Linked DNA regions of Arabidopsis thaliana. The protein of the gene in region 2 purifies or fractionates together with the protein of the main gene of each other region. This does not show direct contact. Each region holds a gene or a part of one and is shown on either strand. Other genes may lie near its edges.

Evidence for each region.
Region 1: the proteins of AT3G07590 (region 2) and SNRNP-G fractionate together in Arabidopsis thaliana (co-fractionation; one large-scale study listed by BioGRID). This does not show direct contact.
Region 3: the proteins of AT3G07590 (region 2) and AT2G18740 fractionate together in Arabidopsis thaliana (co-fractionation; one large-scale study listed by BioGRID). This does not show direct contact.

What each region holds. Positions count from the first base shown.
Region 1 is NC_003071.7:10,180,605-10,190,539, reverse strand, and holds SNRNP-G (Putative small nuclear ribonucleoprotein G), read right to left. Parts: upstream 8,290-9,935; 5' UTR 8,188-8,289; coding exon 8,153-8,187; intron 8,049-8,152; coding exon 8,026-8,048; exon of another isoform or gene 7,780-8,025; coding exon 7,658-7,779; intron 7,577-7,657; coding exon 7,514-7,576; 3' UTR 7,170-7,513; downstream 1-7,169. Other genes in the region: AT2G23950 (Leucine-rich repeat protein kinase family protein), read left to right, coding at 571-673, 784-916, 998-1,069, 1,161-1,304, 1,396-1,467, 1,543-1,602, 1,682-1,782, 1,876-2,004 and 3 more; AT2G23945 (Eukaryotic aspartyl protease family protein), read left to right, coding at 3,935-5,311; AT2G23940 (transmembrane protein (DUF788)), read right to left, coding at 5,443-5,535, 5,621-5,686, 5,769-5,853, 5,966-6,159, 6,258-6,341. UniProt on the Arabidopsis thaliana protein: Probable common Sm protein, is found in U1 and U2 snRNPs and may be part of the spliceosome.
Region 2 is NC_003074.8:2,416,642-2,426,945, forward strand, and holds AT3G07590 (Small nuclear ribonucleoprotein family protein), read left to right. Parts: upstream 1-6,409; 5' UTR 6,410-6,504; coding exon 6,505-6,518; intron 6,519-6,657; coding exon 6,658-6,734; intron 6,735-6,812; exon of another isoform or gene 6,813-6,948; coding exon of another isoform or gene 6,949-6,961; coding exon 6,962-7,153; intron 7,154-7,255; coding exon 7,256-7,317; 3' UTR 7,318-7,346; downstream 7,347-10,304. Other genes in the region: AT3G07568 (fanconi anemia group D2 protein), read right to left, coding at 828-908, 998-1,111; AT3G07570 (Cytochrome b561/ferric reductase transmembrane with DOMON related domain-containing protein), read right to left, coding at 1,564-1,794, 1,894-2,186, 2,902-3,307, 3,386-3,565; AT3G07580 (uncharacterized protein), read right to left, coding at 4,536-4,634, 4,740-4,792, 4,965-5,015, 5,241-5,387, 5,823-5,854, 5,971-6,020; AT3G07600 (Heavy metal transport/detoxification superfamily protein), read right to left, coding at 7,659-8,047, 8,127-8,205, 8,308-8,313; IBM1 (Transcription factor jumonji (jmjC) domain-containing protein), read left to right, coding at 9,507-9,959, 10,043-10,140, 10,242-10,304. UniProt on the Arabidopsis thaliana protein: Involved in splicing regulation.
Region 3 is NC_003071.7:8,117,671-8,127,974, reverse strand, and holds AT2G18740 (Small nuclear ribonucleoprotein family protein), read right to left. Parts: upstream 4,755-10,304; 5' UTR 4,642-4,754; coding exon 4,600-4,641; intron 4,500-4,599; coding exon 4,473-4,499; intron 4,374-4,472; coding exon 4,311-4,373; intron 3,590-4,310; coding exon 3,511-3,589; intron 3,424-3,510; coding exon 3,378-3,423; intron 3,275-3,377; coding exon 3,265-3,274; 3' UTR 2,897-3,264; downstream 1-2,896. Other genes in the region: AT2G18750 (Calmodulin-binding protein), read right to left, coding at 1-198, 281-458, 554-751, 838-998, 1,084-1,577, 1,658-1,716, 1,807-1,882, 2,033-2,148; DGK3 (diacylglycerol kinase 3), read right to left, coding at 6,286-6,444, 6,523-6,639, 6,720-6,807, 6,895-6,972, 7,078-7,148, 7,269-7,351, 7,439-7,514, 7,621-7,708 and 4 more.

The DNA.
Region 1 (9,935 bases), on a different chromosome or scaffold from region 2:
TAAAATTTTGTTATTCTTTTTTGAATACAAGGACTTATTCATTTATACTTTTATTTTGTTTCCGTTATGGTCTCTCCATTGCCACCATTATTTATGTATAAAACAAACTTTCACAAATTTAGCATATACAAAAAAAAAAAAAAAAAAAAACTCGAAAAGAGAAAGTATCATCATCCACCACCATACGGGTCCGTATCAGCTTTCCTACCTGATTCTCCCTCCCCACAAACCACAACACTACCTACACTCTCTCTTGCTTTCTCTCCTCTCTGTTTTTTCTAGCTTTCTCTCTCACAAAATCAAAACTTTTTTTCTGTGTTCATTATCATCTCCTTAAATTCATAACAATACACTCTCATAATTCTTCTCTGCGTAGGAGAGACATTGCAGAAATAAAAGAGTTTTTAATAGACCCAAGAAAAAGAGAAAAAAAGCATTCATTTTTTTCTTGCTTTGTTGCTTTGCTTTTGCTTTTCTGTTTCTCTTCTTTTGTGGGCACAACAAAACATCAACAAAGTAATGATTTTGTGTTCTTCCTTCTCCTTCTGGTAATCTAATCTAAAGCTTTTCATGGTGGTGATGAAGTTAATAACAATGAAGATATTCTCTGTTCTGTTACTACTATGTTTCTTCGTTACTTGTTCTCTCTCTTCTGAACCCAGAAACCCTGAAGGTAAGCAAAGCAACAAAAAACGAGAAAAGACTCTTTTTTTTCTTATGGGTATTCGAAAGTTTCAAACTTTATGTACCCAATAATTGATTTAGAGTGATTCTTTGTTACAGTGGAGGCGTTGATAAACATAAAGAACGAGTTACATGATCCACATGGTGTTTTCAAAAACTGGGATGAGTTTTCTGTTGATCCTTGTAGCTGGACTATGATCTCTTGTTCTTCAGACAACCTCGTAATTGGCTTGTAAGTTTTCTTTGCTTTTGTCTTCATAGTCATTAATGGTGACAAATTCTTCATCTTTGTTTTGTTTTTTCCCAATTCCAGAGGAGCTCCAAGTCAGTCTCTTTCAGGAACTTTATCTGGGTCTATTGGAAATCTCACTAATCTTCGACAAGTGTAAGATTATTTTGTTTGTTTCCTCATTAAACAAAAGTATCTCCTTTGTTTGTTTCTTCAAACTCTGTTTTTGTTTTTTGGATTTTTGAAGGTCATTACAGAACAATAACATCTCCGGTAAAATCCCACCGGAGATTTGTTCTCTTCCCAAATTACAGACTCTGGATTTATCCAATAACCGGTTCTCCGGTGAAATCCCCGGTTCTGTTAACCAGCTGAGTAATCTCCAATATCTGTAAGTCTCTCTCTCTCTTTCAGATTTTAATCAATCAAAGATTCGTCTTCATTAACTTAAACCTCGTACGTTTGTGTAATGATTTGATTAGGAGGTTGAACAACAACTCATTATCTGGGCCCTTTCCTGCTTCTCTGTCTCAAATCCCTCACCTCTCTTTCTTGTGAGTATATAAAGTTTGAATTTTTTTCTTACTTTTTAACTTAAAGACTCATGTTTTTTGATGTTTTGGTTTCAGAGACTTGTCTTATAACAATCTCAGAGGTCCTGTTCCTAAATTTCCTGCAAGGACATTCAAGTAAATACCTTTTCTTTTGGTCTCTTGTGTTATTGTCAAAGATTGAGTTTTTCCTAAGTGTTTTCACTGTTGAATGTAGTGTTGCTGGGAACCCTTTGATTTGTAAAAACAGCCTACCGGAGATTTGTTCAGGATCAATCAGTGCAAGCCCTCTTTCTGTCTCTTTACGTTCTTCATCAGGTAAATCCATCCTTAAATTCAATAATCTTGCTCGCCTTTTCGTCGATTGTTTAATCCATTGCTTATGAGTTAGATACCATTTGGGATGTGTAGGACGTAGAACCAACATATTAGCAGTTGCACTTGGTGTAAGCCTTGGCTTTGCTGTTAGTGTAATCCTCTCTCTCGGGTTCATTTGGTATCGAAAGAAACAAAGACGGTTAACGATGCTTCGCATTAGTGGTTAGTCAAATCGAGTAAGCTTATGGTTTATGTAATTTGATTTTGTTTGTTGTCTAAAGTATTTTGTTTTGGTTCTTTATGTAGACAAGCAAGAGGAAGGGTTACTTGGGTTGGGAAATCTAAGAAGCTTCACATTCAGGGAACTTCATGTAGCTACGGATGGTTTTAGTTCCAAGAGTATTCTTGGTGCTGGTGGGTTTGGTAATGTCTACAGAGGAAAATTCGGGGATGGGACAGTGGTTGCAGTGAAACGATTGAAAGATGTGAATGGAACCTCCGGGAACTCACAGTTTCGTACTGAGCTTGAGATGATCAGCTTAGCTGTTCATAGGAATTTGCTTCGGTTAATCGGTTATTGTGCGAGTTCTAGCGAAAGACTTCTTGTTTACCCTTACATGTCCAATGGCAGCGTCGCCTCTAGGCTCAAAGGTAGTCAAAAAAATGGTTTCTGATAACTGCTTTTAGTAAAAAAAAAAATGAAATCACTTGAACTGATTTTTGTTACTGTTACAGCTAAGCCAGCGTTGGACTGGAACACAAGGAAGAAGATAGCGATTGGAGCTGCAAGAGGGTTGTTTTATCTACACGAGCAATGCGATCCCAAGATTATTCACCGAGATGTCAAGGCAGCAAACATTCTCCTAGATGAGTATTTTGAAGCAGTTGTTGGGGATTTTGGACTAGCAAAGCTACTCAACCACGAGGATTCACATGTCACAACCGCGGTTAGAGGAACTGTTGGTCACATTGCACCTGAGTATCTCTCCACCGGTCAGTCATCTGAGAAAACCGATGTCTTTGGGTTCGGTATACTTTTGCTAGAGCTCATCACAGGAATGAGAGCTCTCGAGTTTGGCAAGTCTGTTAGCCAGAAAGGAGCTATGCTAGAATGGGTAAGCAATCACTATAAGTTTAGATCAAACGTATAATCAAAAGATAGTCTTAAAACTCAATTGAGTTTTGCAGGTGAGGAAGCTACACAAGGAAATGAAAGTAGAGGAGCTAGTAGACCGAGAACTGGGGACAACCTACGATAGAATAGAAGTTGGAGAGATGCTACAAGTGGCACTGCTCTGCACTCAGTTTCTTCCAGCTCACAGACCCAAAATGTCTGAAGTAGTTCAGATGCTTGAAGGAGATGGATTAGCTGAGAGATGGGCTGCTTCACATGACCATTCACATTTCTACCATGCCAACATGTCTTACAGGACTATTACCTCTACTGATGGCAACAACCAAACCAAACATCTGTTTGGCTCCTCAGGATTTGAAGATGAAGATGATAATCAAGCGTTAGATTCATTCGCCATGGAACTATCTGGTCCAAGGTAGTAAATCTTGGACACAGAAAGAAACAGATATAATATCCCCATGACTTCAATTTTTGTTTTTGAGATGATATAGACATGTAAATGGTTATCAAACCTTTGAAAAAATTGAGATTCTGGGTCTAATGGTTAATATTTTGGATGTATATATTAAGGTTTTTTTAAATGTGTTGGTTTTGGTCTGTTATCCAAATTTGTAAAATTTGAGGTCCTGTGAAAGCAATTTTTGGTCAAACTCTGAGATTCATGTCTTATTATCAAAAAATTTACCGACCAACAACTTAATGATATGTTGACCTGTACTTCTAATTGTTTTTGTTCAATTTATTTTTCTAAAAAACATAACACAAAACAACAAAAGATGTAAAGTACATGATAGCTTTTATATACATAACCCCAACAAACTTTTGCTATTTATAGTCTCATGATCTTTGGTTGTTTTTGGATATTATTTGTTGTCATCAATTCGTTGTGTTTTGATCTTTTATATTCTTCTTCATATCACAGTCTTGATGCTATTACCCTAACTTAATCTTTATTTGAGGTTACAAAATGGTCTCTGTAATCCCCCAAGTCCATGTTTCTGTACCGTTTCAACAACAATGGAATGTTCTTTCCAAACTTCACTCTTACTCTTCATCACTGTATCATACTTTGTAGTAACAGAATCCATTAAACCTAACCGAATGGCGATGAAGCTGATACACCGTGAATCAGTGGCCCGTCTCAACCCAAATGCTCGAGTTCCGATCACTCCAGAAGACCATATCAAACACCTGACAGATATTTCATCAGCCCGGTTTAAGTATCTACAGAATTCGATTGACAAAGAGCTAGGCAGCAGCAATTTCCAAGTTGATGTGGAACAAGCAATCAAAACATCATTGTTTCTTGTGAATTTCTCCGTAGGACAGCCACCGGTGCCGCAGTTAACTATCATGGATACTGGAAGCTCACTTTTATGGATCCAATGTCAACCCTGCAAACACTGCTCATCAGATCATATGATCCATCCTGTCTTCAATCCAGCATTGTCTTCAACATTTGTAGAGTGTTCCTGCGATGATCGTTTTTGCAGGTATGCACCAAACGGACATTGCGGCTCATCAAACAAGTGTGTTTACGAACAAGTGTATATAAGCGGCACTGGGTCAAAAGGCGTTCTAGCTAAAGAACGGTTAACCTTCACAACACCTAACGGTAACACTGTTGTGACCCAACCTATTGCTTTTGGGTGTGGCTACGAGAATGGAGAGCAGTTGGAAAGTCATTTCACTGGTATTTTGGGGTTAGGAGCCAAACCCACATCACTTGCCGTACAGCTTGGGTCTAAATTCTCTTACTGCATTGGTGATTTAGCTAACAAAAACTACGGTTACAATCAGCTGGTTCTGGGAGAGGACGCGGATATTCTCGGCGATCCAACACCCATTGAATTTGAGACAGAGAATAGTATCTACTATATGAATCTAGAAGGGATTAGTGTTGGGGATACACAACTCAATATCGAACCAGTGGTATTCAAAAGAAGAGGACCAAGAACAGGGGTCATACTAGACTCGGGCACACTCTACACTTGGCTAGCAGATATAGCCTACAGAGAACTCTACAATGAAATAAAATCCATTCTGGATCCAAAATTAGAGAGATTCTGGTTTAGAGACTTCTTGTGCTACCATGGGAGAGTGAGCGAAGAGCTCATAGGCTTCCCTGTGGTGACATTTCATTTTGCAGGCGGAGCTGAGCTGGCTATGGAGGCCACAAGCATGTTTTATCCATTATCAGAACCGAATACGTTTAACGTCTTTTGTATGTCAGTGAAGCCAACCAAAGAACATGGAGGGGAATATAAGGAATTCACAGCTATAGGGCTAATGGCTCAACAATACTATAATATTGGTTACGACCTCAAAGAAAAAAACATCTATCTCCAGAGAATCGACTGTGTTCAACTCGATGACTATTCCCCATCAAAGTAAATATTGTACACGCAGACATGTCCATGTAAAAGAGACTCAGAAAGCTTAGAGAGTTTACCTTTTGAACACATTTGTATATTTTGAAGAACATACTCATCCCCAAATTCATGTTGTATTCTATAACAACACATTCATCTTGTTCTCGTCTTGACGACTTGCCCTCTCGAAGCTTTCCTCTCCATCTTCTCTCTCTTTTTACGAGACTTTTCATCTTCCACACCTCCCTACAGTTCAACGCCACAGAGACAGAGTAAAGCTTTTTGCATTGTGTAAAGAAGCTAATACTACTTAAAACTAAATGAGATTTACCTCTGAACCTTGTGACATGAATCCTCGAATAAGACCAGAAGCTTTATACACTCCAAACGCAGGAATCTAAAAACCAAACAAAAGTTACATCATTTCAATCCAATTCTATGTATCAATTTGTGTTTATTAACTAAGCAAACACGCATACCACAAGATACGTGTACCAAAACTTCCCAGTGATGATGGAAGCTAGCTGAACAAAGCAAGTGATATAGATGACATCGTGCAAATATCTGCAAAGGTCATCATATGATTCAAAATGCATAACTCAAACATCATAGTATGCAAATCCATAACACAGAAGCTAGCTTTTGGTTCTTGTTGATTCATTTAACACAAACGTACCCGCAGATTCCACCAGTGGTCATGTCAAATCCACCATCAATAAGCTCACCATCATCAGTAACACTAGGTTTAGCCATTTGATCAAGCTGCTTATAAGGAAACGCGTAAGCCAGCGAAGTTATCACTAAACCGATCCAATGTTTCCAAGTAAAGCTTGAGTAGAAAATCAACATCCTCACAACGAAATACACAGCCTGTGACCATAAATTACAAAATCCAATTCTCAATTCATGAAGAATCGCGAAAAATCGTAGAAATCTGGGAAACGTATAGATGGGAGAGGAGAAAATACATTGGAAGCGATGATGATACGACGGAGCTTAGCCATGTGTTTGGCGTTCTCTTCCTTTCGTTTCTTCGCTCCTTGATTCGCCATTCTTAATCTCGGATTTTAGCTCTCAATAGTCGTCGTCTGTTTGTTTTTCCGGCGAAGCAGAGGTTATTGAAAAAGACAACGACGCTCACTGTTTCGCTTCCGATGAATCTAGTAGTATATGGGCCTAAGCCTGTAAATAGGCCCAATTGAGCTTTCGGATCTGCGTTCTTGACAATCCACGGAAAGTTGTTTTGAGGGATCCTTAACAAGAAGCTGCAAATAATGAATATCCCGAATTCTCAATGCAAAAACACTTTAACCATATATACCTCATGATCACAAATTATTAAGTTTGATGTCTCCGTGAATCACACATTTTCCATGACAATAGGCCAGTGCCTGACTAAGACTTGCAATGTACTGAAATCAAGGAAAAGCCATCAGCTTCACCACAAGAAGCATGATAATCTTTCAGGGAGAGGGAGGGAGAGGGAGCGAGAGAGAGACACTCACAGTGGCGGCTTGTTGGTTTCGTAGAATTCGCTTGTCCGCTTTACTTTTGGCGCTTTGGGAAAGATCGTAAAATTTAGGTTATGTGCTTGACAGTGACACAATCACATTTTCAAGTTTTGATACACATTCTGTTTCAAGTTCAGTAAACTTTGTGTCAACATGGTTGAAATCGATGTCGTCCTAATCGCTCATGATAAATGGGAGCCTCTCGGCAATGAACTCAACATGTAAGACTTGTTTATGTTCTTTGCATTTTACATTGTCTGCATTTTTTGTCTTCTTTAAAGTCTCATTCATTACAAAAAGAGAAAAAGAGCAACTAAGCATTAACAGAAGGGATGAAGATATAAGATCAAAGCAGTGGATCCAGAGTAAAAGCACAAGAATATTGATGTGGACTTCTTGATCAATTTATAATAACTGCAAATCTACCATCAAGTTTCCTCAGAACTAATGCTTAGTACCAAAACAAAGATGACTATGGATGCATAAACCAAGCTAAGAAGATGACTAATAGAGGTTTGAGCATTGTATCAAGAGTGAAAAGTACAAGCCATCACATTCATCGGTGGGGGTTCATTGCAATCTTTTTAGTACAAGAAAAGAGTATTCATGTAGACTTCTTACAGAATCAATTCATCGTAACTGCGAATCTACCACCAAGATTTCTCATAGCTAGTGCTTAGTACAAAAAGATCATAACCAATGAATATAACGAGCTAAGAAGATCTGCCCACTGGTTCAAGAGCTTCAACAGTGACAATGCTGTTTCCTCTAATCACCTGCTCCCAAAACCAAAGTAAAACATCAGTCAAGAGCAGCAGAAGATTAACGACAAAGGGACACAGAATCGAGAGACTTACCACCATCCCGATGTCGGTTTTGTCGTTACCGTTCACCTCAACAGTGTTATCCACAACAAGATTCATGAACTGATCAAACCCACGAAGAGTTCCAGTAACCATTCGGTTAGCATTAAGCTTGACTGCATTTCAAATACAATTCATCAATCTCAACACATCAAGAAAAAATCCACTCTTTGCTAAAATCAAAACACAATCACCAAAAAAAAACTACTTTGAGTTCGATTCTAGACACTATAACTAAAATCAGTAATACCAAATCCAGTTCGATTCACAGAATAAAGTTGCAATCACATCTCAGCTAATGTGTTATACAAAACTGAAGTTCCCTAACTATCGATAAAAGAAGATGAAGATATTGAACTTACTTTGGAGCTTCTTATCCATGTACCTGCATCGAACGAAACAAAAACAAACAACAGATTAAGCACAAAAATTAAATCAGAAACACGAAGATATAGAAACAGAAAGAGAGAAATAAGAACAAGGGCTTACTTCTTAAGATCCGGAGGCTGACCTGAACGACTCATAGTTGCAAAATCGGAATTGAGCTTAGGGTTTTCGCTCTCGGCTTGAAGAAGACAGAGTTTGCTCTGAAACCCTAAAGTTTTGATTTTTGGAAGTCTAGTGTTAGCGTCTTCTTGTTTTTTACTACTCCTTTAAGCCCAATAATCTACTCAGGCCCAATAAACTATAAGGCCCAACTCATATGACTATTGACATGTTTCGTCGAAGTGTATTTTTTTTTTTTTTTTTAAGTGATTTTCCTTTTTCGTCGAAGTGTATTCTCTAGACGCTATTAATCTGATGTAATATCTTACAATCGTCTAACCAATTAATTAAATATTTTTGTTGTGGTCTAACCAATTGATCAAATATTTAGCGTCTAACCAATTGATCAAATATTTTTGATTTCACCAATCGATAAATTTTAAAAGTTACACTAAAATTTCACCACAACATCAAAAATGATAAGAAAAAAATTAAAATGACGAAGACATTTTTATGTCATTGTAGTTCTAATGCGGCCAATTGTTCGAATTGTTTCTATCGAATGATATTACATATACCATTTTGTTTTTCAGCATTACATATACAATTTTTCTGCCACCAATATGCATTATAATGAATTTAATTTAGGTAATAAGTGGTAAGTGGTGACACATCTATTATACTCACTAATTTTATATTTTATCTACATATACTATATTTAGACTAACAAAATTATAAATTTCACAAGGTTAAATTTTTTTCTTTATATATATATATTATTTAAACATAATGCATTATCATTTTTCTCTTATTATATTTTTAATTGAAAAATGATAAATATTTCTCTAAATTTTTCTACCTTTACATCTCATAAGCTTTATGCTTTTCTAGATTGTTGAGAGAGAGACAAAGAAATACTCTGGTGATGTAGCAATAGCAGTCTATGTTGATCGTTGTGTAATCGTGAGCTTACTTTGAGCGAACGATTTGCATTTCAGATTGTTTAGTATTTCTCTAATAATCAATTGATTTTTCTCGCGATTTACTTTATAAGTTTCAATTTGTGTTTCCTATTTACAAATTTAGCTCGGGATAACAACAATATATCAGTCCAAAATAAAAATTTCTCCACTGTAATACTTGAATGTACAGATATACCATGCCACAAGCTCTCAATTTCTAATACCGATTCATCGACAACAAAATAAATATAAATAAACGATTAATATAAAATTGGTTGATGTAAAACACTGAAACCTATTAATAATAAGTTGTGTATGAGAATGTATCGACTAGTTTTGAAAAGAAATGGAGTAAGAGCCGGTGTTGGGATCTTCACAGCCTTGAAGTTGTCTACACTCATCCCACATCGACCAAATATCGAGTTTCCCATCTCCTTTAGTTTTGCTCTTAAAACACCACCAAAACATATTATCTCATATGATCAAAAGTGTGGTTCAAGACTTTAAAATTTCAATATACTGTTAATAATACTTTTATTTTACGATAATTGGCTCCACTTTTTTTTTTAATAATCTTAAATTATTTTGTTTGAGTTTTGACCCCAAAATTTTATAGCCGGTCCTGCCAAAGACATTAAAATTTTAGTGTCCTTGAAACGTTGGTCCAGCAGAGGCAATTCAACATCATCCTCGCATATGGCAACAACCCATCTTGATCTATATCATGCAAATTTAAAGAACGTCCCATAGAAGAAACTTCATGATGGACATACCAAGAAGACAAAACCTTGATCTTTTTTGAGAAGACCGAACCTTAAATTTTA
Region 2 (10,304 bases):
GATTGAACAAGTTGATCAAAATGTGAATGAATCGTTTCTAGGTACACAACACTATGAGCTACCACTAGTAATGTAACTTAAGAAGGTGTGAAACTGCTTTTGTTATTGAAATTCACCAAACTAGAGAGACTCTAAAGTCTCAAGCAATTTGTCCAACCAAACTCTAGAAAACTCAAGTTAATGGGCAACATTTTGTGGCTTATATAGGCAGTGGTGAAATCTCAATGTCTGAAACTAATTGTTCTTTCATGAGAAGCAGTACCAGCAAACTATAACACCTCTAGAAATTCTTGAATTCTCCGTAGACTAAACAATTGTGAAGAAATCAATGAACAATGAGAAGTAACCCACCAAACATAAGAGCTTGCTATGACATTCAGATCACGTGGATAGCTTGATTGATCAACCAGAGTTATGAGATCATCTCACTAACAAACAATCGTTTCAAGATGCATAACACTATGAGCTACTACTACCAATGTAACTTCATGTAAGCAGAAGGTGTGAAACTGCTTTTGTTATTGAAATTCTCAAGCAATTTGTCCAACCAAACTTTAGAAAACTTGTTAAGTAAATTGGCAACATTCTGTGGCTTATACAGGCAGTGGTGAAATTACTACGCTTGCTTGACCTCTCTAGAAATTCTTGAATTCTAAGTTGATTAAATATCAATGAACAATATCAATGTAACCAACCAAACAAAAAAGCTTTCTGTAAAACTCAGATCATATGAATAGCTTAATTTATCTAAAAGAGTAACGAGATTATCTCACTAGCAATCAAATCATAGTTACGAATGGAGGGAGAGAGGTAGAGAAAGAGCTGACCTGAGCTGGATTCGGGTTCTCATAACCACCAGACTCCAAACCTGATACTCTACCTTCCAGAGCACTGAATTTCTCCTTCATCTGCAGCATTGGAATTTTGTTAACGATTTGCAGGATATTCGAATGAAAACTTTCCCAAATGATGAATTTCTAAAACATTGAAAATTTACATCAGAAGAAATAGCGAAACGTTCGGCATAGAGATCACGCCACACGATATGAGCAATGGAACCTCCGGTCACGGAAAAACCAAGCGTAAACCAGAGAAGGCGAGTTCTCAACATCTCTTTCTTCTTCTTCTTCCAATTTCTGCAATGTCTCTGAATCTCTCTGACGCATTACCGAGTCGTCAACCATTTTTTCTTTTTGATATGGGCCTTTATATTGGCCCATTAGTTTGCTAAAACAAACTAAAGCATTTAAGTTTTTTAATTGAGATGGGCCTTTCTTATATAGAAGTCCAAGCATTTAACTAGTAAAAATGTCTATCGTGGCCCAAAAGACCGTGAAGGTCCGTAGTTGATAGGATATGAAGCAGATTATAATTTTGTAAATAGTGAAAAAAAAAAAAAAACATTATACACAAATTAATTCTTGTATCAACAAATAGACCTTCAAAAAAAAAAAAAAACATATCATTCAAATGATTAGTCAATAACATGTTCAATACATCACACTGTCCTAACCAAGATAAATATGGTTGCAAGACAATAAAGAGAGATCATTTAAATAAAAGTTACTTTTTCAAGAACTTTCTAACTTCTAATCCAATAGCCGTCAAGGCCAAGACCGCGACCGCAAAACCGTAACCACCATTCCAACTAGTTCCAGCTTTAGCCAAATGAATACCGTAGAAGATGTTAGAAATAGCCAGTATGATCAGAAGTCTTCCTATGTTATGATGATACCAATTCCAATATTTTCTGTATTTCGATTGCTTATCCGGCCGAGCTAGCAATGCCAGCATCTGAAATATCAATAAACAAAACCATGTAAACATATAATCGTCTTGGGTGTTCTTCGCAGTATATACTTCAAATTTTTGAGTGTTATTAGGAAGACGAACCTGAAGAACGCCCATGACAAGTATGGTTATCCCGAGGCCTTTGTGCTTGGAAACATTATTGGCCTTGAGCCGGTTTTCAAGAACCAAACCGCAAATGACACCAGTTAAACCGAGGAGAAAACCAGTGGTTTGGAGAGCGATATGGGCATAGAACCAAGTGGGGTCCCATTGCTTCATATGTCGAGCCACTATGGCGCCAACGATAATCAATATTCCCCAGCCGAACATGTTCATTAGCCCATGTGTCTTCTTTAGCTTAGAGTGTGGTGAAACTTTAACCACACTTTGCGAACCTTTTACATTCATCAATGGAAAACCAAAACATAAATTAGTCCAAGCAACTACGAAACAAGAAGAATTTCTAGATTCTAATACAAACTCATGTTCTTTTATTAAGTTTTGTACCCTCCATATCTTGAAAATTTTTAACACTAAGTTTTACTCATGAAAAAGTTAATCTGTTTTTTCACTGCATCTCACAATCATCAAATCAAACAAACCAAAATAGACAATGATGAGATATTAAAAACAAAAGACCTGTACATCATTTTGTTTTGTCTTTATTACCCGAAATATTGTTGAATTGCCATTTGGTACAAAAATCAACTAAAACTTAATTACTACTCCAAGCTACAGCATCTAGACTTCTAGAGAGTCCCATAATCTCATAATGTGGCTAAATAAATTCAATCGTGTTTTTTGACCAAAAAAAATACAATAAGAAAATTGGAAATTAGTGTTTTGGAAACTATATGAGTAGTAGTAGCAGTAGTTGGGCAGGGTCGGTATAATGTGAAAATGACTCCAACAAAGAATAATGGTACAATCTTGAACCAGTTCCTAATCGTCATCATCGCATGTGTTTAATTTGTTTTGAATTAACTTAGAAAAATATTATGTTGTTGGAAGGCTTACCAAACTAGTGGAGATATAAAATGATTAAGCAGTCAAATAATGGATTAATTCAAGATTGACTTTAAATAATTAGTCAAGCTGGGTTTTGCTTACCTGTATTATAATTGATGGTCGTGGTGGTCACGAAGCGGTGCTCTCTCAACCTAAAATCCGGCGAAGATGGGAAGAATCCGGCAGGTCCCACAGCGTAAAGAAGACTCTGCCGCGGCAGCGTCGCCGTCAATTGAAATCTCATGTAAAGACGCGACGACACTGATTCGATCTTCAACGAGCCGTTGACGATCGTTAGATCTCCTTGGTCAGGATTAACCTCTCCGGGAGATTTCCCACCGAGCAAGTACGGTTTCACAGTCCCGGAACCGCCGTCGGAAGGTATCCAACCAACGATCGCGCTGCTTCCGATCATCTGACCGTTGGTAGAGAATCCGATCCCGATGAAAGCGCTTGAATCCGGCGCCGATAAGATAAAGCTCCATGTGTTCTCTGCCGTTCTTGCATACTACGCGTGAATATTATTAGAAATTCGGTTTCAATATTTTCAGAGTTGGAAATTTGAAAATTAGGAAAATTGACTTACTCGGAGGATGAAATTTTGGGGAGTCCAAGCTTCGGTGCATTGAAGGAGGCTGGTGTTGAAGGTGAGGTCGTTGAGAGGTAGAGTTGAGTTGCAGGAATCTGTAGCAGCTTGTTGAGCATTAACTATGGTGGAGAGAGCAATTAAGACGAAGATGATGATGGAAACAGAATAAAGCTTCATGTTTTGTTCTCTTTCTCTCTCTCTGGATCTGAAAGATGAAAGAGAGAGGAAAGTAAATGACTAATGAAGAAGGATCATGATGATGACGACGACAATGAATTGTATATATATATATATATATATATATATATATATATCTTGTTTATGAGATAGTGTGTGTGAAGAAGCAGTTGAGAATTCAACTAATTTTAAAATTCTTTGTATCGTTAGAATTCGTTTTTTTATATCATTATTATTACTAATCTGGTAAATAAAGAGCTCTGTTTCATTAAGAAAGAGTAAAAATCCTTTCGTTCTGTTTCTCTGTCTCTCGTCGGCTTAAGATGTGGAAAAATGATTGCAATGTACCAGCTAACTTAACATGTTTTGATCATTTAAAGACAAAAATAATAAACTTGATTGAAAAGGACAAAATGATAAATCTCTCTTTAATTTTTGGAGTACTTGCTACGAATCCTAGCTTTTTCACGACCAGTATCGGTCTAGTCAGTTTAAGTTTCAAGTCAACTGGTTATTGATTGCATCTGCCGCATTGTGTTTATTCATTGATCGACCAATGGGATTTTTCAGACATACAGATAATAGTATGTACTACTATACATTTGCCTTTTTGGTGTTATTACTTTTAGTACTTGGATTCACATAAATTTTGTAACAACTGGCTTCTATTAGCTAGACGGTCTATTTCCCGTCTAATTCAAAACCAAACTTTGTAAGACAGATGAAAGGAGCAATGAATTTGTAATCCAGTTAAGCTAAAATGAGATGGTAACGTGATTGTTACTCAAATCTCTGGTTTGGGTTTTTTACACTTTCAGGGACCAGAGAAAACAACCGATCCTGACAAAAGCAATATCTGTTATCCTACACACACACAATATAAAAGTCATTGACATACCACCGCTTGTGCCATCTCAACAAACACCATTTCACTAGTCTATATGGGCTCCATCATCTGAACAAGAACCATTCAATTGTTGGCTTTTGGCATCAGCAATCCTCGCCGCACTTCAGTCATGTAATCCGTTGGCGATGGAGGAGGTAATGTCTTGTTTGCTGCAGCCAGGATCTGTAATTGTTTTGACACAAAACAAGAGATGGGGTCTCATCATTCATGTACTCACATCTTTAGAAAAACTAGAAGCATATGATAAGAGTTTGAAGTTAGTTCCACCTGATGAGGTAGTTTACCCCAAACACTCCCTCCATAGTACATGATTGGTCGCACTGTGAAACAGAGAAAGTAGGCAAACTTGAAAATCAGTTATACTTGACTAACCGGAAGACAGAGATCCAGATAAGAACATAGATATATCTGATTGTATTTGGAGGCAACTCAAGCAGCACAAGTATAATAGACACAAAGGACAAAGGAAAACTTAGAATCCCTTAATCTCACCAGATAGATCCACAGTTGGGTCGTCGTATTGATGCATTTCAGCTGCCCATCCTGTTCATGACAAATCAAGAGCACGTAAATAAGACAAGTACATAAAACTGACTGCATAAGCAGTGAATTCAACACACCTTATCTATTAAGTTCAAAGATTTCTAAAACTAGCACTGACTCAACAAATGCTTAGCATAGCAACAGTTGATAGAAGAACGACCAGATAGTGATACAGAGCAAAGAATAAACCAGCTAAATGTTTAAAGAGATAGTTCAGATTTATACGTTGGCTCATGAGCTGATAAGCTGCACTCCTGGAGCAGTCCTTTATTGTTATTATCCTCTGGGTCTGGGATATGTTTTCCATCTGAAGACCAGTAGCAGGAGGCTGATTTCTCTCATTATCGTTGTTCTGTTGGCTACTTGTTCGATCTGCATTTCACTCTTTATTTAGCCAAGAACCATAGCATACTAGCAAAACCAGATATAGCTTGAACGACGATTTATTTTCAAGAAAACAGGCAAACAAATGGGTCAAGTACACACATGGAGAAATGAATCAACCAGCGGATTTGCTAATAAAGAGAGAGCGAGATCTGAATTTCAGGCTAAACTCCTAATAATTCACTTTCTTAGAAACGGTTCTTGAAGTTACCAACTATGCACAAACACAATGTGTACAGATTCGCATGCAATCAATTCCTGAATCTACAAAACAAGATTACTTCTATTCATCGACAATCTTTGATCTAAGCTATAATCTCCACAGAACTAGATACTCTCGGAATTAAGAACCGAATTGATTAAGAATCAATAAAGAACGACTGAGGCAAAGAAGACAGAGAGAGAGAGAGAGAGCTCACATACCTCCCGACTTCCGGCGATTCCCAGAAGCCTTCCTGTGACACGGAGAAGCAACATCGAAAGGTAAGAACGGAGTAGCGAAATCAGTAGAATAAAGAACACTCGAAATCAGCAGATCAAAGACCACTGAAGAAGAAGAAGAAGAAGTTACCTTTGATTAGGAGGAGTGTATCGATTCTGATTGGAGCTCGAATCCGCCATTGACGAGTTAGGATTTACGCAGTTTTTTCAGAGAACTCTCTCTCTCTCTCTCTCTCTCTCTACCGGAGGAGATCTGTCAACAGTCAACTGTTTAACGCATAGAGAACGTTGAAAAGCGTCTTCTCGTCTGAAGTCGTTCAATCTTCACGCGCGAATTCTTCGACGCGTGTTTATCAACCTCTCGCGCGCTTTTATTACGCCTTTCCGAAATTAACGTTTCGTGTTCAATTTCCGGTTTGCTGAACCAACTGTATGTAGATTTCTGGTTGAAACATCTACTGGTCCACCATTGGACTTTATGGGCCTTACTACATTTTTGGGCCCAATATTGTAATTTAGCTGATGGATCCAAAACCGGAATCGGATCTGTACCCGCTCCATCGTGAGGTCTCTCACAGCGAAAGAAGGGTTTTGAGGGTTTTCACACCTTTCGCTGTTTCCTCGTCAATTTCTTTGTTTGGTTGTTCTTTCTTCGCATCCAAAGATGAAGCTCGTCAGGTACTGTTTCGTTCTCAGTTCTTCTTTTCTTTAGAAAATTCATGTTGTTCTTAATCTTAGTTAGCTCCTGGCATGGAATCCATTCCCAATATTGAGCCTGAGCTGATTTGTGTTATATGGTTTTGATTGGATCGAGTAGGTTTTTGATGAAGTTAAACAATGAAACTGTGTCTATCGAGCTGAAGAATGGGACTGTGGTCCATGGAACCATCACTGGTAAGTTCTTATTGTTAGCTTCCGGTTTCTTTGTAGCTCTTCTCATCTTTTCTTCTCTCTCGATTTCTCCGTTGCTAGGTCTTATACAAGTCGCGATCTGTTCCCTTATTTTCAATTGGCCCTAATCGCGTCCTTGTGATCACATGAATAGGTTGAGTAAACACACAGTTAGAGCCAGTAGTCATAAAGGTATATTTATTGAAGTTTAAGCTTGATGATTTGGGCAGGTGTTGATGTGAGCATGAACACTCACTTGAAGACAGTGAAGATGAGCCTGAAGGGGAAAAACCCAGTAACACTTGATCATCTTAGCTTGAGGGGTAATAATATTCGCTACTACATTCTTCCTGATAGCTTGAACCTCGAGACTTTACTTGTGGAAGACACTCCTAGAGTTAAACCTAAGAAGCCTGTTGCTGGTACTGCTTCATTCATTTTTGGTGTTTGTAATATTCGTCTTCATAAGCTAAAAGACTTCTTTATCAGTCCATTTATTCGTTCTCTCTTTCTTTCTTCTTTAGGGAAAGCTGTTGGACGCGGTCGCGGACGTGGCCGTGGGCGTGGTCGCGGCAGAGGTCGTTAGATGTAGCAGCGCTCTGGAACATGTTGAAGGTTTGTGAGTTTAATTTTTAGGAGAATGTACGAGTTATGTAACTAGCAACTCTGGCAAAGGAAAGATTTGATTGAGAAATAGTATGATTGATGCTCTAGTAAGGAGTTACTTTGTAATGGAATTCCATGGATAACAAGATTTGGCTTTACATGTTATAAGAGCATCTACAAGTAGAGAATTTGTGTGATACTGATAGCTCAAGACTTTTTATTCATTTAACAAATCTGACTATCAAATTGCATTAACATGTTGACAATCTTAGTATAGAAAAACTGCTATCTCCTCCGTTAATCTTCCACATGAAACCTATCTCACATGATCCTGCAATTGGGATCTTGATTGTAAACGGGTTCCCCGATCTGATTGTAGGGATCACACGGGTAGGGATAGGAAGATGGCACACCATATCCATCATGAGGCCATGGTTGATAACATGGCTCAGGTTTTTGCCATGGTTGACAACATGGCTCAGGTTTCTTCTCTTCAGGTTTCTTCTCTTCGGGTTTCTTCTCTTCGGGTTTCTTTTCTTCTTCTGGCTTTTTGTCACCATCCTTAGGTGGTTCAACTTTAGCTACGCTAACAAGCTCCGCAAATGCAACTTTTTTCCTGAGTGTGTTGATTAGAGCAATCATATCGACTTCAACACCGGTCACCTCAATCTGGTTCCTGTGATCTCCCTTTATTTCCACAGCGTTCACGCCTATAAACCAATGCGATAAATCTTTAGATTCAACAAGAATTACAATCATCAAGTTCTCTAGTGTTTGTATCATTGTTACCTTTAAACTGAACCGCAGTTTTCATTGCCTTTGCTCGAGTTGTGTCATCAGTCATAGCAATTCTTATCAGGATCTTTTGCTGAGTACAATAAGAGAACTCCTTAACATCACAAAGAGAAGTCTCTCTCTTTCACAAGAGAATCGAAGTTATTACTTGTTGTTGAGTACACAGGAGACATACCTTCATGTTATTGTCTTCTGAGAATCCGCGTGATTTGTTTGATGGGAGTTTGCTCCGAACTTTTTTGTGTCTTCTTCGATCACAAATTAGAGGAAATATAAATAAGGATCGATTTTATATATTCATTTGTTCCATGAGTCGTTGTCTCACACAACGGAATCCGATAGTTTGAATATCGTTGTCAGGTTCATATCTTCGGTCCTTACGTGTTTTATTGGTTCTAGTTGCCGATTCGTACGAGCTTATTACCAATTTTTTAATTTTAAAAAGCCTAACAAAAATCTTTATTTGATTGAGTCAAAAAATTAGATGAAATAGTTATTTGACTGGGTCAAAATAAATTGATTAAATAATGGTAAACAACACAAATAATATTTGTTTACTACACCGTTGCCTGGTAGTTTTAGACATGTATGGCAAAAGACTTAATAATTTTTGAGTCGATATGTCAATTATGATGATTAATAAGTTTTGTTTGTTCATCATCCAGTTGTGCATAACAATGAATAGAACAGATGCGTTAAAAGTCTTGGTCTTCTCTAGAGTACATGTTTCCCTCTAACTTCCTTCTCAATAAAAAAAAAGATTAACTTGACTACTAATCTGTCATCCATCTGTATTAACAAATGTTATATGCTTGACTTGCAATACGTACTTTCGCAATCATATTGCAGTTTTCTAACGTAATGAAACAATAAGCTTTTAGTTTATACTAATGTGTGTTGTCTAATGCTAATTTGACTTTAATTTCTTAACACATTACACATTGATGATGCCAATTGCAGTGATATCAGCAACTTGCAACCGTTTGATCCAATGATATATCATAGGTAATTAGGTATCATATCTCATGGAGATAAACGGGTAAATAAATATAATCTTATTTGCTAAATAAAAAATAATCAAGTTTAAGTTTTAACATCTTCATATACAATCTGGTTTCTGTGATCTCCCTGTATTAGCAAAAAAAAAACATGATTTAAAAAAGAATTTGGAAAGAAAAGAAAAGAGCGGGAAATAAATCCAAAGATTTGACCAAGTTAAACCAAAACTTTTTTACTATCTGAGAAAACCATTCAGTTTCCCCAAAATAAAATAAAAAATCAGCCTTAAATCCCGTGTCTAGGGTTTTCTTTCGTAGCTGATTGGGGGCTGCAAGAGTTTCGCCGAGGACGATTGAGAATTTTGATTTTCGAAAAATGGATTCTGTGGAGGAAGAAGGTGTTGTTAGGGTTGAAGAAGAGAACGGACGCGGTGGTCTCCGTAGGCATCGGAGGGTTTCTACGAAGCTGGCGAATTACGTAGATCCTCCGACTGACGACGAAGAAGATGGAGGACCCAAGCGAAAGGGCAAAAGGGGTGGAAATAGGGCTCCGAAAAAGACACCGAAGAAAGACGAGGAGATGCAAAAGAACGAAATTGATGAAGCAAACCGAGTCACTGGTCTGGTGAAGGAAAAAAGAGCCGCGACTAAGATTCTGAATCGCAAAGACTCCATTATTGAAGTAGGAGAAGCTTCTGGAAGCATGCCCAAGGAAGTAAAGGGAATTAGGATTGGGAAAAGGAAGGGAGAAATCGATGGTGAGATTCCAACTAAGCCGGGCAAGAAGCCAAAGACTACAGTAGACCCGAGAATCATTGGTTACAGACCGGTTAGTGATTTCTCTGTAAAATTTGTACTCTTTTCATACCTTACATGACGACCAATTCATTAATTTTGGGATATATTATATAGGACAATATGTGCCATCAATGTCAAAAGAGCGATAGGATTGTTGAACGGTGTCAGACCTGCAATAGTAAGCGTTATTGTCATCCATGCTTGGACACTTGGTATGATCTTCTTCTTACCTTGAACTTTAATTTCGTTTCTTGTTACTGATTTCATTTTACTGTCCAGAAGCCTGAAACATTGGTCTATTTACTTCTTGCAGGTACCCCCTTATAGCAAAAGAAGATGTTGCCAAGAAATGCATGTTCTGCTCTAGTACTTGCAA
Region 3 (10,304 bases), on a different chromosome or scaffold from region 2:
GTTCTTGGTTTTGAGATCCTGTTGCTGGACCCAGTGCCAATCTCACACCACCGTTGCTATTGATCATGCTTTGTGATTCATGAGTGTTGTTAACTAGCTGGTCTTGCGGTGCAAATGAAGAGTTTCCAAAGTGCATGTATGTAGTATCAGCTAGCTGAGATTGACCCGGGAAACTTGAAGCCGGACTCTGGTTGTATGCTGAAAAACCCAATGAATGACTGTTAAATTCGGTTCACACCAAAACTTAAAAAGATTCGACATTTGTGGACTGAACCTCTACCTTCAACAGTTACGTCTGAATAAGATGTAGATGGTTGGCTTGGAACTGAAACTGGCATAGAGTAATCAATATCATCTGTTTTGCTAACTTGATTGAAGTTCATAAGTGACTTGCTGTCATACTCAATAACCTGTTCCCAGTTTTCATAGGCTTTCCTCACCAGTCCATCGACGTAACCCTGCATCATATATATAACCTTTTACTATTTTCCGAGTATATGATAGAAGAATCAAATCTGTATCTATAAGAAGCAAGAAGACCCAACAAACATACCTTTTGATTGTCAGAAAGAGAATCAGCAGGATAATACTGCTTTCCTGATATAAGACCACTAAACTCGTATATATTGTTGAAAACAACACCAACTGAGTCCTCGGGATAGTAGACGTAAAGCATTTCACTCAATACACATGTCTTGGAATGCTCTGCAAGTGTCTCCCACATCCTGTTTGACATGCCACTTCCAAGAATCTGAAAATCAGAGTAAGAGTCATCATGATGAATAATAATATTTGAACATCTTGGTAAGATACTGGATAGTTAAATCGTGCACTCACAGTCCTTAGTTTCTGAGAGTCTTTGACCATAAGACGCAGGAATTCTTTAACATTGTAGATTCCTGCTTTATTGAGTTTCTTATGGAAAGCCCCGTCCTTTCCAATCTTTTCCAACCTCCAGACCTCATCATCCAAAGCAGGTGGGTAATGTTTCTTGTACACTGTAGGAAAAAAAAACATTAGGCAAAAGAAAAACAAAGATTCAGATACATCAATGACTAATATCAAAGGAAAGCAAGAACTTACACTCTCCACGATGGTCCTTCACGGTAAAAGCTTCTGTTTTTGCCTCGCGTACACGCATTCCCTCACAGTAACCCGAAGAGACCCTTAAACCCAGCCTGAATTTTCTGCATCTAATCCAACTTGAGTTGTCCGTAAAGATAAGTTCCCCTAATGTTCCCACACCTTCTTTCAACGTGACCTGCACATCACCAGTCAAGAGAGGCCTCTTCCCTTGACGTTCTTTCACCAAATGACCCTCAAACTCTTCTCCACTCCAACCATCATCATCTTCAGTGTTAAAATCACCATCAAGCACAACAACATCAAGCTTTGCAGAAGCTTCAGGTCCTACTGTCAAAACATGTCCAGTTGTCATATCCAACAGTACAACATGGATTGCAGCACCTTGCTCCCCTTCTATCTTCCCTCCAGTAAACAAAGGAACAGACAATCTAGACCTGAATTGTAGCTGCAAATTCCTTCCACCGATACCTTCAATTCGTTTTGGAGACGACCTGTGAACTCAAGCATTAGAAGAAAACCACAAATACTCCAACCATTAATTTTATCTCTTTTTAAAACAGTCATATGTTACCTTTCACTAAGTCTTGCAGGGCCAAGCTTTGCCAATGCCCGCTCCACCTCTTCACTTACCTGTTTGACAATGCTCACAAAACAAATCAGTAAGCCAAAGAAACAACACAAAGCACCAAAAGACATGTAAACAATTCTTATTAAGCTAACCACTCGGCGAAGAATCGGTTCCAAAGAAGAACAAAGCCTCTGTAAACTATCCATCTTCAAGGCTTCCACAATTACACTGCAATAACACATACACAACTTTCTCAAATCCACAGACAATCAATATACATAACAACCCTTTTTTCATTCATACAACTACAAATCAATTACAGATTCAACAACGCCATAATCAATAATCAGAAAAATTACAAGCATCAACACAAATTACCTTGCAAGAGCTGGCCTTTTACGCTCAGGCTGTTGCTGCTGCTGCTGATTATCATCTTCCTCCAATTTTCTCTTCTCTCTCATACTATTAGTCCTCTCCATATACCTCGTCTGCATTTTTTACGCTGCTAGAAGCTCTGATCTATAAGATCGAAGCAAGTAAAAAACTTCACCAACCCAGAGAAAGAATCACAAATCCAGCTCTCAAACTAAAAAAAAAATCAAAACTTTACCACAAACAAATCAAACCCAGAAGCTAAGCAAGATTTTATGAATTCTACTTAAAAGCTTCTTCAAACAAACGGAAAGAGAAACCTGAAAATTCGATTCGAAGGAGAGAGAAAAATACCTCAAAAATGGTGTTTTGGATAGAAGAAAAAGAGAGAGAGATAAAATGAAAAGATCAAAAATTAATTTACTTGAAACACTTGTCTAGTTTTGTGATTAGTCGAGTACTTTGACTAGTTTTAGTAATTAAAGATAGTTATCGGGTGCGGACAAGATCACAGTAGGCTTGGATTGCCGTCACTTTTGCTTTTCGTTTATTGGACGACATTCTTGGGCCGGCGGCTAGTGTATGTATTTTTGGCACATGCTATATTCTAAAGTTGATAATTAAATAATAATACTTTGTTGTATAAAGTCCAATTATTTGTTATTAAAAAAAGACTTTAATAGTAAAAATACATTCATTTCACCAATAGCAAGATTAGGGATAAGATTCAACAATCAACATGGATATAAAAACATCTAATTGCAATGAAAAGTTAATGTTCACATAGATTTCTGTATTTTTATGTTAACTTTAACAGATTATATTCTGATTGGTCTATTAGTATAATTAAACTTTCAATCTACTTGAGCCCTGAGAATGGCCAACTCGGTCAGTTCACCAAACAAACAAAAATGATACAATTTTTTTTATAATCAAAATCAATTGGTTTTACTTTTTTAAGGTTTGAAATTTAAACAGAGGTTAAAAAGTTGCAACAAAGATCAGCCAAATTACATAACACTAGATTTAACCAAAAGGGACCAAATCTCTTTTTTGAAGTTTTAACCAACCAATCCACTAGATTCGATCAAGCTCCTTTGTCACTCACTACATTGCAATATATTATACGACATTGAAGAAAAGAAGGTATCGTCAAGTACCAATTAAGCTGAGGAAGAACTCAACAGATATTTAACATAAGCTTGAAGGTCATCGAAGAGAGTTGTTTGAGACAGACATCACTTTCCCCTGTTAACATAGAAAGGATTTTGTTTCAATCTTTTGTTATGTGACAAATCAAGCTGCTATACATCATAAAGAGAGAAGACAGAGTAGAGATTGTGTTACTTACGTGTTCATCATCAGAGTTATGTTGTCTCCTTTGAGTAAAATCCTTCCTGAAAATAGGTATTAACACGAGTTATCAAACCATAAGCAGACAGATCTGAGACTTGTTATCAAAGAGTGAGTTCAGGATAACTCACCAAGTGGTTTCCTGGTGTTCTTCTTGATGCTCACTTCTTCAGCCTCATCCAAAACTAGATTCATGTATTCGTCAAAACCCTGCAAAGGACGACGGATAAGCAAGGTTTGATGGATTCTCCTAGAAGAATCAATAATACACCCAAATTCAAGTAGACAAAAATCTAAGTTTAAAACCGAGTAGAGTGACACTATCACAAATATCATGTTCCTCCATACATATAATCAACCTCAGAAAAGCTAGGATCTTAACTCGAGGAACAACAAAAGTCAAGTAGACTGCAACATGGAACAACAAAAGTCAAGTAGACAACTCAAACCTTTAAGCCAATGAGAATGACACCATCACAAAATCTCAAGTTTCTCCAAATTATCATAGAATCAAACTAAGAAAAGCTTGAATGCTTGAATCATAACTCGAAAATCATAGAGGACATACAACTACAAGCATAGCAACAAACTGAAACAAGTAACACCCAAAGCCAAGTAGGCTGTAGGAGACAATAAGTTTTAAGCCGAAGAGAATGACACAATCATACTCAACCTAAGAACAGCTAGCTAATCAAACTAGTTTCTATTGGCAGGCTCTTATCAGTTCTTTGTGCAGTAGTAGTAACAGTGACAACTATCCCTTTTCAATTCACAACAAATGCAACAGTTCAAACACAGACTAAATTAGAGAGATAGTCACACTGCTAATGCATTTCAAACTCTCCTAAAGTTAGCATAACCCTCGAATGTCCTATAAACAAAGCCAGGAATCTAATCAATTCATGATAACGGAGCTTCAACATCAACTTACAGTGATTCTTCCTTCAATCCTCAAATCTTTCTGCTCAAATAGCCAAATCTGGATCCTAGCTTTCTGCATCACAAACACAAAAGACCAGGGAACAAATCAGTAGACGAACTACTAATAACCTAAAACCTCAGAGAGCAAATCAGAAGAAATTGAACAACTTACACTTTGAAGAAACCTAAAAATCAAGTTCTGGAGCCGCCGCCACCGGAAAACAAAAAGCAAGATACAAAATTAGGTTTCGATAGAAACAATAAAGAGATGGAACAAAGGAATCGAAGAAGAAACGTACGATAGGTTGGGTCATAATCCTTTGAACTTTGGTGCTCGCCATGGCTAACGTAGTTGGAAATCTCTCTCAAGCTTTCGAAAATTCTCTCTCAGAGGAAATCTAAAACCCTAAAAAGCGTTTGTCCCTCTGCTAATACGCTTTTTTCAACATTTTTCTTAAACTTAGTTCTCTCGGTCCTCATAAAACTTCAGAATGTTATTTCAGCCCATAACTAATTAATGTGATCATTTGGCCCAAATACTCTTTTCCAAGACCTAGAATTTTTTAGCGTAGGTTTTTAACTTTTTTTTTTTTTTTTTCAGAGAAAGATTTATTTTTAATATACTGAGGCTCAGTGTTACAACATAAAAGGCTCAAGACAGTCTACATATGAGGTCCACAACAGACTTTTACGTCACAAAAAAGAGATAAGCTTAAGACGTGTCAGACCAATAATAATAAGCTAAGGACACGTGAATCTTCCACAACCTCCACCGGATGAGACTCAAGTCTGGTGAATCGGAGAACCATCGCCGGGAAAGCACCGAGCAATGAAACTCTTTTTTTCTATCACCGATTATGGCAATTAGATGTTATAGAACAAACATCAATTTCCTAATCTCATATGGTTGCTAGAATCACAAATAATTCATCAAAACGGGTAAAGAAATTAAAAAAATTGAGTAGTTCAAACTTGTCCAACCATTGAATCTTCGAACTCTCTTGCAAAAGCACTAAAGGCATATCAAATTTGCATAGGATAGAAGCTTTAACCCAATCTTAGGCGAAAATAAAATTGAAACTGTCTTAAATATGGTAGATCCAAACGAGGGTAATTGCTGGAAACGCACACATCGCCGAAAAACTACCAGAGCCAAAAGCATAACCCAATAGTGAAGCTAAACAAAACAGAAGGAGAATAGATCTTGTAAAGAGAAACCCTCTTCAGATCTGACGATTCTGCATGCCATAAAGCTTCATCATCAAACCTTTGAAGTAACAAAACAAAAACAAAGATGACCAACGCTGTTAGTGTAAGCCCAACGCTGCCGTACGGAAGCTGGCCAACGTCGCTAAGTTAGCCAACGATGCCATACAAAAAGCCAACCATCTCCACTAACGTAGCTAGAAGATGTCGGACGAAAGCCCGAATTAAACGGGACGGCGACTCACCGGAAAACTATCCGGTTAACAAAAACAAAAGAAATTTCAGTTTCTATCTTTACAAACTACGAGAGAGCGAAGAGAGAAAAACTTTTTTGTGTGGTTTATTAACTTAGGTTTTTAATTTTTTATTATTCTGGTAAAAATATACGACTAATAATGATAATTATTAAAAATATTCTTACTTAGAAATTGGTGTCGATGATAAATTGGTTCTCAGTCGAACTAGTGTTAAAATAAATAAAAATATGACAAAGAATCACATCTATGTGCTCAATGCTAGAATTACAAAGATTGAAGAGAGATTGAAATTTGACCAAATATTATCTTCCCACATTCTTATAAATAAACAAACTTCATTCCTCACAACACAAAAATGTACAAAACCAACAATAAGCAGAAATTAAAAAGAGAAAAATGGTCACAATCTCAGATTTAAAAGAAAAGAAGACTAAAAAGCTTAGGCTATATCTATGACTAACTGAATCAAATCCAAATACAAAACAATTAGCTTTGTACAAAGAATCCAGCTTTGAATCTCAATCATTCATTATTTATCATCAGAGATTGATAAGGAACCTTCTTGATCTCCACAAATGTTGAGTACTCAGTGCTCATTGGTTGCTTCCATGGCTCACCATCCATTTGCAAGAATGCGTCTCTCCAGTCACCTCCTCTTAGCTCAAATCTTACCGCAGCAGCCTGAAATGATCACCAAAATGAAACAGTCAAACACATGGCTAAAAAGATTATACATTGACCAGTGTCTTTTGAAGTTACCTGAGCTATGTGCTTGGCAGAGATGAGCTCAGCCATGACAAATGACGCGTGCCATCCTTGCTTAAAACCGAAAATCTCTATCAAACCATCATCACAATGTGCTTCCACAAAGCCTCTCTGAGAAAAACCAAAGAAAACATTCGGGTTAACATCAGAGAACTGAGTTCATATATGATGAAATGGAACAGAAACAATACCTTCTCTAGATAGTCCGGTTTTAGATTGCCCCAAGGATGGCTTCCACTTCCATAGCTGTGAAGATTCAATGCGACAATTGATCTCACACTACAAGAGAAATCCATAGCATCAGGTTTTAAGCATTGATATCAAAGATTGTAATACATAAATCATATATCGAAAACTGTTTTTTACTTTTTCGGGACTGCGATCTCTTCCCACTGAGAGCAGTTAACCTTTTTGATGTGAATTTTCATTATGTTCCTAAGTCCCCTGCAAATTCATATAGCACAAACAAGGGGTCAACAACACAACAAAGGGCTTAAGCAGAGACTTACACACAAGTTCAACTACACAATAAGAGTCGAAATGGCGAACCTTAAACCTGGATCGTTGACACAAGGCGTGCAAAACCAACCCTGACTGCAACCAAAACTTGAATATATAATCTGCAAAAGCAAACATTGTGTGGTTGGTAATGTCGTTTCTCAAAACCAACATAACTACTTTAGCTTTTAACAAAGACAAATAATGAGTCCAAAGTTTAGGTGCAAATATAATAAACAAACCTTATTTGAAATAGGGCCTTGAGCAAGATATGGTTTAGTGTTGCGAAGATGGTGGAAGCCATATGCAACTTGAGCATCCATACCTAAACAAACCAGACAAACACAAGAATCTGGTCAGAAAAACAATTGTGAAAATTGTTTAGGATATCAAAAAGAGAAGTTCAACAAACCTATGCTTAAGTAATTGTAGAAAACACCTTCATAAGCCTTTGCAAGTGGAGGCGCATCAATTCCCGCGTCCAAACCCTGAAACCACCATAAAGCCTGGTTAATTACTAAACCGTGGCAATTTACAAAATCACATGCTGATGATTCAATGAGAAGAAGCAAGCCTAATGAAATAGAGCAAAACCTGATCAAGTTCGTTTTCTTCAGCGGGTTTTAAAGAATAAGGAGGATCTACGACTTCTCCAGATGGCATTGACACTAAAATCTTCCAGCTGCAACACCACATAACCAAAGCGCATACATTTTTACAACAAGAGAAATACAATAAAAGCTAAATGTTTTGAGCAAAATAAGACTTTTACCTGTCAAGTCTAGCAACTGGACCCATACTTGCGCGATGGAGTGTTCTTTTAACAGCAGATCTCCACGCAAAAGGAAACGAACCACCCTGAAGAAGAGATACCATAGTCAGTACCAATTCAAAAGTTTTGTCACGACAACATAAGAGAGAACAAAGAAAACACAACTCACCCAACCAAAACTCCTTGAAAGATCATTCCCTGTACCGAGAGGAATAACTCCAACAGGAGGAATTTGCGACTTTCCATCTTTATTAAGCTCTCCAAGACATCCAAGAACCCAACCAACAGTACCATCACCTCCTGCAACCTATCCAACCAATTCCATTCACAATTCTGATTGCTAAAAACATTCAAGTGGATCTATAGAGATTGGAGAAAAATATGGTCAATACACTCACCATAATCCTCAACCTTGCTCTGCATTCTTTTGCACATTCATCTCCTTCCGCTGCCACTTTCTCCAAACACCCCAACCCGTATCGAACAAACTCATGCGGCTTCACTTCCGTGAGGTCAAACACCTGTATCAACACAAAAGTCACCATGAAGTTTCAATATCAAAAGCTCAAACCAATAACTTGACAACATCAACATCACTCAGCTTTCCAAAAGACTCAATCTTTAAACGTAACTCATCCTTCAAAGTTCCAACAAAACACTAGATCTAACATCAGCTAAGCATAAACATATAAATCAAGCATTAAAAACTTAAAAGCCAGAGACTTTAAGAAAGTTTCCAAACTAACATAATCAAAACACAAAGTAGATACAAATTAGATTCGAAATTCCCCCAAAAACCCAAAGAAAAAGATTTGAAATACAAGTTCAGTGAGAGCAAAACCTGTTCCTCGCTCATCAACTGTTGAAGCCTCTCTTTAAGAACAGGACCATGACGACCACCAGAATTGGGGTTAATGAAAACAACCATAGGAGCATGAGGAGCCATATCAGCAACAGCACCACCAGGAAGAAGTAAATGATCAGGAATAGCCGAGGAATCTTTGCGTTTGATACAGTCACGCATAGCGAGACGAAGATACTCAGGCATCATCAACCTCTGACGAAGCTCTACTTTATCTACACCAACCCATGCCAGATTCGCGAGTCCACAACCTCTCATCGTCTTTGAATCAGCCGTTGATGGTCGTGAAGCCACGAATTTCTCTTTCGATGCATCGGTTTTTGATACCGGAGAGTCCATTGTAGTCTCTCGCCGGAGAAGAAAAGACAAAAAGATGATTACTTTTCGTCCTGTGATTGGAGAAAATGAGGAATATTCGAAACCCAGATAATCAAAATTGGAGTTGAAATGAAAAATAATAAAGGATTGTTTTTTTTTAATCTTTCTTCTTCTTCTTTGCTGAGAGATTTCAAATCAACCAATATAAAATCTTCTTTTGACAGTTTGTATTTTCTTGTCTGTTTTGTCTTTTTTATAAATGATTTAGTTTCGAAGACAGCGCACAAAACGTGTGAATTAATTTGCTTATATTGAAAAAAAAAGAATTTACACGGTTGGATTTCAATGTGACGTCATAAAAATGCCACTCTTTAGATCTTTGATTCTTTTTCTTTTTTTATTGTTTGACATTTATGAAAGCGACTGATAAATGTTTATTTTGTAAAAGTTCTAATTTAGAATAATTTTGATTATTAATAATATTAAACTACTAAGATTTGTATAGTTTAATACCATTATCTTCTGTAACTAAGATTTGTAGATCTTTTGTTTCTGTAAGATCAAATTTACAATTTAAAGTGTACAAAATCTTACAATACTAATGATGGCATAAAGAGATTAACAATGAGATTTTTTAACGTTATTGTTATATCAAGAAAACCAGAGAAAATTAATTAGTAATTGATTGATACATTGTAAGAATAGGATCTAATGATATTTTAATATTCAAAAAGGTTCCATTATAGAGGTTACATCTGGTGAATATGATTGAATACAATTTGATATAGAGAATTAGAGATACTTGCATTATTATTTGCTTCCTATTATTATTTGACTGCATTATTGGTTTCTTTTTCTATGTAAAAAATATTTTCAACTCTCCAACAAAGAAACAAAATTCTCTGACATTTTGCTTAGAAAGAGTGGCGTTTTCGTCATTAAACAAAGGAATAGTTTTGGTGGTAACGTAAATTGTAAAAAAACAGCGAAGGAGACAATAGAAAATGAGAGCAGACATTGAAGTTAGTGGATTTTCCACAGAATGGGGCCTACAATGTTATTGCCCACTCAGAGAAATAGGGTCACTGAAAGTGATAGCTACTTCCCATTGCTGGGATCGTTGTGTACTTTTTCTAACCTAAATTTCCCTCAATGCCTTTTTCTTAACTTATAGAATTGGTCGAAACTTGAAAGTATATACAAATGCCACAGAAAAAAACATCATTTAATACCTTCTTAATTGCACGATATGATATCAGATGTTTTGTAACCAAGAATTGGTCCATGTAAACAATTTATTATGTGGCAGAGGAAGACTCAAATTCA